2 linked regions of the Caenorhabditis elegans genome follow. The protein of the gene in region 2 interacts with the protein of the main gene of each other region in a pairwise test. Each region holds a gene or a part of one and is shown on either strand. Other genes may lie near its edges.

What was found. The genes of interacting proteins can lie anywhere in the genome.
Region 1: the proteins of T02H6.11 (region 2) and hsp-17 interact in a two-hybrid assay, tested with the Caenorhabditis elegans proteins (one large-scale study listed by BioGRID).

The regions. Positions count from the first base shown.
Region 1 is NC_003283.11:8,383,150-8,390,300, reverse strand, and holds hsp-17 (SHSP domain-containing protein), read left to right. Parts: upstream 1-4,373; 5' UTR 4,374-4,386; coding exon 4,387-4,433; intron 4,434-4,743; coding exon 4,744-4,981; intron 4,982-5,242; coding exon 5,243-5,407; 3' UTR 5,408-5,493; downstream 5,494-7,151. Other genes in the region: gcy-7 (Guanylate cyclase), read right to left, coding at 1-102, 150-206, 252-371, 419-631, 681-860, 907-1,008, 1,061-1,324, 1,425-1,544 and 7 more; F52E1.14 (ZP domain-containing protein), read right to left, coding at 5,494-5,688, 5,735-5,874, 6,033-6,132, 6,181-6,357; F52E1.5 (Chondroitin proteoglycan 3), read right to left, coding at 6,713-7,036.
Region 2 is NC_003280.10:698,400-704,989, reverse strand, and holds T02H6.11 (Cytochrome b-c1 complex subunit 7), read left to right. Parts: upstream 1-3,864; 5' UTR 3,865-3,872; coding exon 3,873-4,082; intron 4,083-4,131; coding exon 4,132-4,209; intron 4,210-4,257; coding exon 4,258-4,362; 3' UTR 4,363-4,508; downstream 4,509-6,590. Other genes in the region: thoc-1 (Death domain-containing protein), read right to left, coding at 416-631, 975-1,084, 1,254-1,403, 1,510-1,618, 1,983-2,089, 2,142-2,220, 2,284-2,402, 2,456-2,574 and 2 more.

The DNA of each region.
Region 1 (7,151 bases), on a different chromosome or scaffold from region 2:
GTAATTGGAAATTTTAACCTGCCACCTGTCATCTATCAGGCAACACTTGGATGTTAGCATTCCGTGATATCCAACCATACTTCCGTGAAGAAATACAAGCCCCTGAAATTTCGCGGTTTCTGGAGTTAAAAAAAACTTTCTTCACTTACATGAACCATATCTTTGATAAGTGAGTAAATGAAAAAATTATCCATTTGAATTGTTGCCTAAAAATCATATTATTTTTCAAAATAAAATTGAAATTTGCTCACTTTAAGAATGACATCTGCGATAGAACCTCTCGAGCAGAATCTCCAAACAGAAAGCATTTGTGGACCATCCAGGCAGAGCCCAATAAATCTGTTCAAGTTATCTTGATCCAAGTTTCTCAACTGAAACATTCTTATAGAATAATGTGTAACTTCTTCCATATTCATACCGATCTCATGAAAGTACACTTATCATCGTCTAATCTTGGTCGGTACGCATGCTTTTTTGCAACAACTGGCTCATAATCGGATTCTCTCTGAAGACTGAAGAACAGAAAATTCCTGGATTCGGTTTTGAATGAGACAGTTGTTCTTGATGAAAGAGTGCTGGTTCCGCTTTGAAGACTTCTTACACTGTGCTCTCCTTTTCCTTTTTGTTTGGACTAAAAAGTTATGAGTACTACAAATAAATATTCACATTGCTCAACTTACATTGATTTGATGAAGATGAATGAATGGAATTTGCCACAGTCTATTTAATCTTTCAATTTCTTGTCTTCTTGCTTGAATGGAGAAATAAATTCCACATGCTGCAGCAGTTATTGCCAAAAACAGAACAACAATAGCCACAATAACCCATATGAGATATTCATCAACGAAACTTTTCGGACACTGAAAATATTTTAATTGATTATGGATTTCTGAAGCTCACTCGTACCAGATTTCCTGTAAAACCACATAATGGCACATCAACAGGACGAGCGTTATTTTTTCTAGATGCCCACATTACACCTTCATCTGAATAAAGAGCGTTGAAAGTCTGAAATGTATACGATATATTTTGACAATCCCGACTGATCGATATATCTTACCGCACTCATATTTTCTACATAAATAGTTGCCATTCGAGTATTGTTATTATTTTCATCAAGAGCCAAAAGAAAAAGAGTTGGATTACGAGTGCCTTTTTCATTTATGGTAACATTTCCAGACATTCCAATAAAACTTTGAGGAAAATATCTCATGAAGGCAGTTGCATTACGATACTGGGCTATTTGTCCCGCTTTCAGCATTTTATCAAGTGCAACACCGTAGGCATACACAGCATCATGCAGTTGACCAGCATAGGTGGCAGCCTAAAATATTGAACGATAGTTTTACATTTTTGGAGTAATTTAATAGTTTGATGAATAACACACGCTTCTTTTCTGAAAGTTTTACTTCTTCAATACCTACCACTGTAAAGTTTTCCCCTTCACAGTCCTTTGTACAAAAGTAGGGAGCCTCTTTCATTCTGGCAATTATTTCTTGTCCGAATATTGTATAATTCGTTGCAATTGATCCTTGTCCCATCATCTGAAACATCATGATTTTTTGGCCTTCTTGGGTGGCTTCCGTCAGATAAAATATATTAGTTTGATAAGGCTACAAAAATGAAAACCTACGTCACAAATAAAAATGGATTGCTTGAAAGCTTTTAAAGCTCGTGTGTCGTTTTCATCAGACCCAGTAGATAGAATCCAAGATGGACGTTCACCTCCTCCAAGCAATGGAACAACTGAAATAAAGAATGTTTCGAAATACTTTCATGTGGATCCTACCGTATCCCTTTGATTTAATATCAGAAAAGACGTAGACGTATTCATCCCCAATCATTCCAGCTTCTTCCGCTGCCAGCAACCACTTTCGGCGCAACCCAATTCCATCCTTCATACATGTTACAATTACTGTAATTTGAGAAATGTGAATATTAAAGTTTAAGTTAATCTTACTTCTTCCTCTAGATTGAATCTTTTTCAGAGCCTCAATCATTCCATCATTTGAAATGTCGGCAACCTGGATGGAATAAGCAAGAATGATGTCTCCAAAGTATGATACTACTTGCTGAAATTCTCTTGTATAAAGTTGACACACCTTTGTAATAAACCTGTAAATCATTTCTCATTGTAACACATTTCTCCGTGTCTTCTTCAGTGAAATAAGCGTATACAAATTGACTCCACTCATATCTTTTCAAAACAGCTCGAATAGCAACTCCGAGACTTCGCTGCCCCGCCGACAGAATTCCGGCATTTGGAAATCTTTCGAAATCATCTAACTGAGCAGCGTTTACAAGACCCCACGCAATAATTGGTCGATTGAAGTAGTTAGATACAATAAAAGCAGCTAGCGTAGCTGAAAACATAACTGGTTTTTAAAGATTGGATCCAAAAATTAACTGTTACCAAAACATTTGAAAAATTTACTTACGCTGGTTCATAGTGGGCCCAATGATGACGTCCACGTTGTGCTTCTCTATAAGATCAACAGTCATTCCAGCGGCTTCAGATTCTACGCAATCGTCAAATTCAATAGTAAAACTGAAATTATTTTCAAAATTTACAAGATGATATGAACTATTAAAACTCTTCAATCCGGCCTGTCTATTTTTTTTTACAAAACAGTATGGCATTAGAAATAATCTACTTACTTGAATTCCCAACCACTCATTAGATTCTCCCTTTTCAATCTATCAACTGCAATTGAAGCTGCTGCTGCAGATGTACGATATCCAACAGTGATAGGTGCACTTTGAAAGTCTCTACAGTGAATAAATCCCACTCGAATCACATTTCCAGTGGTACCTGTTGCAACTTGGGGAAACATAGGTTTAGGTAACAACTGAAAAAAAATCATTTTTATTTTGTGGAATTCGCTTTCAAAACCTACCGTAATCACTAAAAACAAAACTAGAGACATTGAATAGAAGGGCTTCATGATTATTTTCTTATGCTAAACTGGCAGACAGCAGATCTTTTTATATCTGCACAAGGGGCGGTGGGATTTATAGAAACTTAAGTTTACTACGCCTGCCGCCTAATCCGTGAAACCTTATTTTTATATTTTTCCGCCTCCCGAAACAGTTGATACGTGAAAAAGCACGGAAGAGAAAAAAGCTTCTTTTGGACTTGATTAATCTGTTGGTCATGAGAAAGCGTGACACAAGGTAGGTTACGGTAGCAATTGCGTAATTAATCGGATCAGTCTATGCGCATTTCTGAAACATTGGGGATTTCAAATCTAGTTTATCAAACAGATACAAATCACATTGACATCTCGTGGAAACAGTCTGTAAAGTACCGCAAATTTTACAATTTTTGATATTATTGTCGTTAAACAAGTTCCATTTCAAATTTTTTATTGAATACGGTAAAAAAACAAGAGAGGCAGCTGGTTGAAGTGAGTCACTCTTGTTGAGTTTTCGTTACTGGAAACCTGAATGAAGATAGTTTTTAACTTTAGCATTACGCCTCATTATTTTCCTATTTCCTTTTTACTATTTTACTTGTATTTTTAAACTTTGTTTAGCACATTGAGCACATAAAACCAAATGTTATAAATATCCTTATCATCAACCCATCGGTTTCTTTTTAACTTTTTTCTTTCTCGAATTTCAATGACCCGGAAAACCACCACATCATATGAAAATCGAATCTAAAAATTTGCAGATACGCATCTGTCCTGCTGCGCTCTTTTTTTATTTTTGAATGTTTTTTTTTCTGCAAACGTTGGGAACAGTCATCCAATCCTTCAACCGTTCGTCTCGTTTTGAATGACAAACGTTCTCTTTCCGTCCTCTGTTTGAGTATATTTACATTGCTAATTCAAAAAAAAATAGTATAGAATATAATGATACTTAGAGATAGTTCTGGCATAAAGTTTAAACTTGAATGAAATCATCAATGCCATTAATAACTGTGTCACTGCATTAGTTTATCAGCAAGTGTGCCAGCAAAAAAAACGTTTCGAGACGATTCGATACATTCCTGAAAAACTTCGATAAAAGGGAAGTATCCAAACAACCACACCCAACTTTCATCATTGACTCGCTGTTTTGCTTTTTATTTTTGTTAATCTTCCTTACAATTAGTTTTAAAGTTTAAAACAAATATTACATGTTAGAAAGAACTGTATTTTGGTCAGTTTGTTCGAATAATTTCGAAATCTAAAACCTTTTCTTTTTGATGATTCGTCGGAGTAGATGTTTCTCGAAGGAGGTAAAAAAAACCGTGGGCGATTCTTGTTTGCATTGAGGATAATAGAGCAGTAGTAGAAAAGCAGGGAGTGTCAACTCAGTTTTGTCTTCTTCTTCCCCTATTTCTGTCTTACTTTCGTTTTGTTTCTTTGAAATAATTAGATTTTCAGAAACTATTATAAAATGGATCGTCGTTTTCCACCATTCTCCCCATTCTTTAACCATGGCCGGTAAGTTTCTAAATTCTCGTGTTTTCGGAAACTTCTATAGTTGAAGTAACATAACTTTCTGTAAATTTTCTTCTTTAATAAGTGACGTCACTCAAATTGTACTCTGCGCCGCTAGTTCTTAAAATACACAAGAATTTAATTTGGCGCGATTTCTAAAAATAAGCTAGCGAGAGGACTTTGTACTCCAGTTTAGCAAATAATGCTCTGAAAAATCATAAAGACTGGAGATTTTGACATATTTTTCTGCAATTAGAAAATTAGAAAATTAACTTTAAAAATTTTACAAAACTCCTACAAACAAGTTTTCTAGCAGATTCTTCGATGACGTCGACTTTGATCGCCACATGATCCGACCATACTGGGCCGATCAAACAATGCTCACTGGACACCGAGTAGGAGATGCTATTGATGTTGTGAACAACGATCAAGAATACAATGTATCTGTAGATGTTTCACAGTTTGAACCAGAAGAGTTGAAAGTGAACATTGTTGATAATCAGCTAATCATCGAAGGAAAGCATAACGAGAAGACTGATAAATATGGACAGGTGAGGGTTTCCCTCCTTCTTGAAAAACTCAAGTTTTGTATGAAGCTAGTGCAACTTGAAAATGTTTTCATGCATCCTTAGATTAGCTCTCAAGATCCTGAAACCTTACTCGGAAAAGGGCAAAAAGTTATCCAAAATAAAGGCCAAGAGTTCTAGATTATCCTTCCGCCTGTTACGCAATACAAGGAAGCCAAGCAACTCATTTCCGAGCTTATAACGAAGTTGTACTAAAGTCTAAAACCTCGTTGTGCATACTTTCAGGTAGAGCGTCACTTTGTCCGGAAGTATAACCTTCCAACAGGGGTCCGTCCAGAACAAATCAAGTCCGAATTGAGCAACAATGGAGTGCTCACTGTCAAATATGAGAAGAATCAGGAACAGCAGCCAAAATCCATTCCAATCACAATTGTGCCAAAGAGAAACTGATTTCAGTTACCTAAGTGTCTGTATTTTAACTATTTCAAAAATATTTATTCAATTCCATTATTGAAGTGACAATATAAACATTTTGTTTAGACTCCAACAATCTTTTGAACCGTAATGAATAGAGCATATGGGAACATGGATGGCCTCTTCACTTTCACATAAACTGAGCAGAAGTTGAAATCATCATAATAATCATAATCGATTCGAACTCCTTGTGAGTTTAAATCAACTTGCATTGAAGCGATTGAAGTATCGTTTGGTGATCCAATCGTTGAGAAAACCTTGAATTTAATCATGAAATCTTTTCAAATAGTGACGAAATTATACCTGTTGTGCTAGAGCAAGTGGAAGACTTCCATTGATAACTGCAGATGATACAATGACGTTTTCGAGTGTTTTATCTTGACAATGAGATTGACACCATTGAACTTGGGATACATCTTTTCCGCAATTGGAAAGTGAAGCGTCTGGAAATTTCTTAAAATCGATAGGAAATCTTTTAAAATTAGTTTAGAATACTGATGCAACACATTAAACATGATAAGATTCATTCTTTCCTGTTAGCAGATTAATTTATAATTGATGAGCTTTCTCTATCAATGACGTTTTTTTTTAGATAACTCACCAAAGTTGGTATTAAGTGCAACGTCGGTCTTGACTTTTACAGAAGAATCAGCAAGCTTCACATGGGAAGAATAAGTGAGAGTATGTGACATAAAGTCGTTCTATAACAATTTATATCAAACACTAGTGTTTTCTAATTTTGAACCCACATTGACACAGAATCCATTCAAACTGAAATAATTATCTGGCTCATAAGCATTGAAGAAGATATTCTTAGCATGTACTTGTGCCCATGTAGAAGGTTTTTGTGTCAAATCACAGGTAACACTGGCTCCAGCCAAAACTGTAAAAGTCGAGAGCAAGACAAACAAAACACGAGAGCACATGGTTACTACTGATAATGAGCCATATCAATTTCCTTTTATAGACGAAATTTTTGTAACTCTTTTAGTGACACTTTCTGGTTTCTGAAACTGATTTGGTTGTTTGCTTTGCACTTATCGAGAGGTTGAAGAGTGGGTGGAAAGTCAAAAATCCGATTAAAACAAGGAATAGTATTCAGGAAATACTTTGAAATGTTTTATACTTTATCATGTCGTTTATCAGGTGATTTGATATTCAAGTGCCAGAAATTATTATATTCTCGTAACTGAAAGTCACCATTCATTTATCATTTTATTCAACCCGAAAAGAATGATGATTACGTGAAAGTTTCTATTGACTATCTACATTGAATGATAATTATTTTCCAGCTGGCTTGAAATAATGCACAGGTAGTTTTGAGCCAACTCCAGAACCAACAAAACATTTGCATTTTCCGACTCGGCATGGAAGACCATAACAATTGTCTGATGTTTTTGTACATTTTGTTTGATGGCAGAATGTCAGAAGTACTTTGACGAAAAGTTTGTATCCGTGAGAATGGAATGCATTGACACAATCACAATTTCCATTGGAATCACAACCATTTCGTAGGCCACCACAATCCAAATCACTGCTGCACTTTTTGTTAGTAATGCAAGCATTACAGTCACATAGTCCAAGCTCACTTCCGAAACATTTTCCCTGAAATTTACAGACTTACATTTTTTAGTGTACCTATTAAGGGGGAGCAATGCCCATTGGATTTAATTTAATTTAATTTAATTTATTACGATAGTAAGATATCGTGAGGTAGAGA
Region 2 (6,590 bases):
TTTTCTCAAATTTCCGCTGAAACTGTGCAATTTTCAGCACAAAATGGATATTTTCAGCTGAAAATTCCAAATTTCTTAAATCTAATAGTTAAAAATCCATTTCTTGATTTTCAGCTAAAAAATTCAATTTTTTCTAATTTTTCACCTTAATAGTGGGTTTTTTCAGCTTTTGTAGCTAAAAATTGCTACTTTTTTTCCAATTTTCAGCTTAAAAAATTTTTTTTCGGCAAACATCAAGATTTTCCGCCAAGAATTTCTCTTTTCAGCAATTTTTCACCACAATAATGGGAATTTTTAGCCAAAAATTACATTTTCAGCTGGAAATTCCAGCTTTTCCTGCGATTTTTCAGCTTAAAAATCAATTTTTTTCGGTAAATTTCACGATTTTCAGCTAAAAATTCAAATTTTTCCGCACTTTTTGTACATCTGCATGGCTCCTTTATCGGCTTTTTCGGAAAAATCTGCACAATTCGCATTTTTCCACGTATTCCACTCCTGCTCGCGGAGCATAATTCGCTTGAGCCCGGCAACGAATGCAGTGCCACGTGGCATCGTATCAGCCAGCAATCTATAGCATTTATCCTCACATTCTGACACATATTTCGCTTGATCCTCGTTTAGCACCATTTTTCTGGAAATTTTTTTGATTAAAAATCATATTTTCTACTGAAAATCGGTCAAAAATACAGTTTTTGACTAAAAAAAAAAGCAATTTTTAGGTCAAAAAAATCATATTTTCTGCTGACAATCGGTCAAAAATAGAGTTTTTGACTTTAAAAAAAAGTAATTTTTAGGTCAAAAAAATCATATTTTCTACTGAAAATCGGTCAAAAAGTGCAGTTTTTGACTCAAAAATCGCAATTTTCCGGTCAAAAAATCATATTTTCTGCTGAAAATCGGTCAAAAAATACGGTTTTTGACTCAAAAATCGCAATTTTTAGGTCAAAACCTCGATTTTTCGGTCGAAAACTCACTTTGCCGGGGGTTTAAATCGAGATTCTGCTGTCAAATATTGAAAAATAATGATCGCCTGCATTAAAAAGTACCGTCGGAATGAAGAATCGTTGAGTTGGAGGGCGAGAAGCTGGAAAAAAAATAAAAATTTTGAGATTTTTGGGGGAATTCTGGGAGAAAATCGATGATTTAGTGGGAATTTTGGTCATTTTTCAGCGTTTTTCAGCTTTTTTAAATCATTTTTTCCAGTTTTCAATCATTTTTAAATCGATTTTCATCAATTTTCCAGCCAATTTTACCTTTGGAGACGTCAAATATTTGGTAAAAAACACGTCGTTACTGGATCCTTTTTGCTGCTTTTTCTGTCGATTTTCCAGAGCTTCTTCCTCTTCGGAGGAGAGTTTTTCCAGCTTATTCGACGTCATTAGGGTGAGAACTGCTGTCAAATCCTGAAAAAAAGGGATTTTTGGCGATTTTCAGTTAGAATTTGTGGAATTTCAGCGATTTTTCCGGCCAAAAAACCTCAATTTTCAGTGATTTTCAGCGAAAAATTACCGTTTTAAACGTCAAAAACTTCTCCTTTTCGTATATTGAATTCGGATTTGACATGAATTTTTGAAGGGACCAAAACTGGCGATACATCTCGGGAGTTACTTGGATTTCTCTGAAAAATGAGCAAATATTCGAAAAATCATGTAAAAAATGCTCAAAACTGCGATTTTCTAGCTTAAAAAGTCAATTTTCAGTACGAAAACCGTCTGAAATCGCTGAAAATCCAAGTTTTTCAATTAAAAAACCATTTGGTCTGCTAATTTGTAGTTTGTAGTCTAGCAGACCCATTCTCTACAACACCACATGGGTCTGCTAAATCGAAACTTGTAGTTTGTAGTCTAGCAGACCCATTCTCTTCAAAACCACATGGGTCTGCTAAATCGAAATTTGTAGTTTGTAGTCTAGCAGACCCAAAAAATTCAGGTAAATGATATTTTTCAGTGGAAATTTCTCGCTTTTTTCCGATTTTTCCGTACTTTGAGTTATCCTCTTCGATTTCTCCAGTTTCCATATCCTCTGCTCCTTCCGTAGGTGTTGGAGCCGATGACGTGGCAGCGAGAAGAGCTTCACCGTCGGTTTCAGACTGAAATTTTGCGATTTTTTGCGATTTTTCAGTCCAAAAACCGAAAAAATACCTCGTCGTAGTTGGTAACGTTAAGCGTGTTGAAGTGTCCCATAAAGTTTACACCGGATTTTTCGGTTAGCGGGAGGAATCTGGAAAAAATTGAGTTTTTCGCAGGAAATTTTGGGATTTTTCGAAAATGTTTCGCTTTTTACCTCGAGAGAAAGAACATAATTCTTCCGCAGAACGATGTTTCAGCGGTTCTACTCAAGCGGCGGAGCAAATCGTTGCAGAAGCGTAGAATATTGTTCTGGGCGGTTTCAATGAAGCCGGGCTGCAAAAAATCCGCTTTTTATCGGGAAAATTCTTTGAAAACCGGCTTTTTACCTGCTTAAACTCGTTCATATTCTCTTCTACTATGCTGAAAATCTGCTTACACTCCTCAATTGAGCTCATCTCCAAGAGGTCCTGTAGAGTGCTCAGGGGAGTGTTTTTGGAGCACAAACCTGCAAAAAACTCATTTTTAAACGAAATTTCGAGAAAATAATTACCAAGCTTGGAGCAATTCATCACAAAATGAAAATGCCGCCTTGCAAGCTCTTCCTTGGTGGCTGAAGGCTGCTCGGCGACCTTGAATCCCCGCTTTTTCAGAAACCCGTCGACTTTTAGAAGCACAAATTCGTCGTCTTTCCTGTAAAATTGCATTATTTATCTGATAATTCTTTTAAAAACTCACGCAGTCTTTTTTTCCGCCTTCACAACCTCCTTTAACCCGTCCAAATCCCGATTTTCGATAACTGTCTCCATTTTTTGACCTAAAACATTAAAATTGACGGGTGAAAGTTGAGAGATTAACGACTAAAATTTTTTATTTGTTTATTTTCGCAATTTTAAAATAGAAAATCAATAGAAATCGGTTCAATTTAATGAAAAAATTAATTAATTCGAAAAAAAAATTATCGAAAAAAAATCACTTGCAACGAAGCTCCGAAATAACGAGGCGCGTGTTGTTTACCGTAAATCAAACTTCAGCCAATTTTCTTATTTTTTTTTCACAAAATACTCATCCGGCAACGTTTCTGGTGAAAAATCTGAATTCATCAAGTTCTAAGGAGTATTTTAACATAGTAAACTTTGAAAAAACATATTATCTATCTGCTACATGGCGTTAGTTAAAAATAAAATACTTCAATTTCCCTTTAATCGATTCCTATGAAATTTTTCTTTAGTTTATTAGAAAAAACCATCATAAAATGTGTATTTTAACTTCAAAAAATTAGGTTCTCAATGCTTGAAAGCTTGAGAAAATTAATTTCCAAAAATTTGTTCACAACGATGCTCCGAAATAACACCCTGCGTGTTGTTTAGCGACACCGCCGAATTCATAATTTTCCTTTTCATTCGGTTTTCTTTGATTTTTAGCTGGAAATTCCGATTTTTTTTGCATTTTAAGCACAAAAATCAGCTTTATGAGGTTTTCTGACAGTTTTAATGCGTAAATTTGTAAAATAACTCGAGAAATCGCTTGGAATCTGATTTTTGAGAATTTTTTGCATTATCTTTGTTTTTGCCGGATTTTTAAGAGTTTTCAATGATAATTGTGCATTTTTGCCTAATTTTTTGCTTGTTATAAGTGACTTTATGTAAAAAATCTCAAGAAAATCATTTAAAATCCGAGAAATTGAGCTAAAAATCGATATTTCCCGAAAAACATGTGAAAACTTGTATTTTTTCAGTTTTTCTTCAGCTTTTCCCCAGAATTCCCCACTAATTTTCTTTTATTTTTTTCTTTTCAGGTAACGAAATGGCCAGTCAAGCCGCCTCAAAAGCCGTCACCTTCGCCTACAACGGCACGATCGCCAGCACGCTTCGCAAGTTCGCATGGAGCAACTTGTGGGGAGGACGCGAGTACGGGCTCCAATTCCACGACACCTACTTTGAGCCGGCTCCAGAAGTCACCGAGGCTCTCAGACGCCTTAATCTCCAGGAGCCACACGTTTTCGATCAGAGAAAGGTGAGAAAATCGATTAAAAATTGGAATTTTCAATCTTTTTTTACTTCAGATCCGTCTTTCACGTGCCCACACTTTGGCTCTCCACGGCGAGAAGCTTCCAAAGGCTGAATGGACTCAATGGGATCAGGTAGCTTTTCACTCGAAATTCAACTTTAAAAAATCTATTTTTCTTCAGGAATCGTGGTACTTGAAGCCATATTTGGACGAGATCGAGGCAGAGAAGAAGGCTCGCGCCGAGACATCCGGACTCATTCCACCATACCAAATGAAGCAACATTAGATTCTTCGAATTCTTCAAAATTATAATTTTCCGCGCCCTTTTTTTTCGTCTTTTTCTGTTAAATCACCTCTCTCAACCACGTTTTTCTCGGCATTCTAGCGGGAAAATCGTGTGAATTTTGAAATTGTGAGTAAATTTTGAGTTAGAAATTCGATTTTTTTTTGTTGTTTCACAGTCAAATCAAACGCGAATTTTTTCAGAATTTCAGACAAATCAGATGATTCAAGTGTCTGCTAGGCTACAAACTACAAATTTCGATTTAGCAGACCCAAGTGATTTTGAAGAGAATGGGTCTGCTAGGCTACAAACTACAAATTTCGATTTAGCAGACCAATGGGTTTTTTAATTGAAAAACTTGGATTTTTTGCGTTTTCAGACGGTTTTCTCACTGAAAATTAACTCCTTAGCCTGGAAAATCTCGATTTAAAGCAATTTTTACAAAATTTTCACTTCTAATCTCCAAATATTCCTCATTTTTAAAAAATATTTTTCAGAGAAATCCAAGTGACTCCAGAGATGTATTGAAAATTGGTCTGCTAGACTACAAACTACAAACTTCGAAACTTCAAATCGTGACATTTTATTCGATAACCAGCCGATGACCGCGCCTCCGGCGCGGCCAACGACTGGCGGAGTTTAAAATGTATAACAAATAGATGTCCTTTTAATCATTCAAAAATGTCTCATTAAAAAAAATTGAAACTTCATCGATTAAATCGCATTTTCTCCTTCCATGGTATACTATTCAGAAAATTCAAAGAGACAGTTAGAATGTTCTGATTTTTCTACTACACATTATCATTATCAGGCTTTCGAAAAAATTCCACAGGGTTACAGTTTTTTTAATAAGTTAACAACTTTCCTTAACTGGAGAAGTCTGAATAATTAACTACTAATAGTAAGTTCTTTGAATATAGATGTAACGAAACAAATAAAAACTCCTACAGTTTTAGGAGGTTGTAGAGCATTTCAGAACTTTTTTAAATTTTCCAGATGATTCTAGAACAGTCTAGAATTTTCTTGAAACTTCCAGAAGGTGCTGAAACAAAAAAATTGATTCCAGAACAAAAATTTGGATTTCCCGCCAAATGTTTTCCTCAGAAAATTTGAATTTCCCGCTAAAATTTCTTTTCTCATAAATTTTGAAGTTCCCGCCCATATTTTTAAGGGTCTCACCACGATAGGTCTCGCCAGTTCCAGGTGGTACTTAAGCTAACAAAAAGTTTCTCAGAAAATTTGAATTTCCCGCCAAAAATTTTTTCTCAGAAATTTGAATTTCCCGGCAAAATGTTTTTCACTGAAAATTTGAAATTCCCGCCAAAATGTTTTTCACTGAAAATTTGAATTTCCCGCCAAAATTTTTTTCACTGAAAATTTGAATTTCCCCCAAAATTTTTCTCACAGAAAATTTGAATTTCCCGCCAAAACTTTTTCACTGAAAATTTGAATTTCCCGCCAAAATTTTTTTTCACTGATTTGAATTTCCCGCCAAAATTTTTTTCACTGAAAATTTGAATTTCCCGCCAAAAATTTGGGTCTCACCACGAAGGGTCTCACCACGATGGGTCTCATCACGATGGGTCTCACCACGATGGGTCTCGTCACGATGGGTCTCGTCACGATGGGTCTCACCACGAAGGGTCTCACCACGAAGGGTCTCACCACGATGGGTCTCACCACGATGGGTCTCACCACAATGGGTCTCACCACGATGGGTCTCACCACGAAAGGTATCGTCACGATGGGTCTCACCGCGATGGGTCTCACCACGATGGGTCTCACCACGAAGGGTCTCACCACGATGGGTCTCATCACGATGGGTCTCACCACGATGGGTCTCACCACGATGGGTCTCACCACGATGGGTCTCACCACGATGGGTCTCACCACGATGGGTCTCACCACGGTGGGTCTCACCACGATGGGTCTCACCACGATGGGTCTCACCACGATGGGTATCGTCACGATGGGTCTCACCACGGTGGGTCTCACCACGATGGGTCTCGTCACGATGGGTCTCACCACGATGGGTCTCACCATGATGGGTCTCACCACGGTGGGTCTCACCACGATGGGTCTCGTCACGATGGGTCTCACCACGATGGGTCTCACCACGATGGGTCTCGTCACGATGGGTCTCATCACGATGGGTCTCGTCACGATGGGTATCAGCACGATGGGTCTCACCACGATGGGTCTCACCACGATGGGTCTCACCACGATGGGTC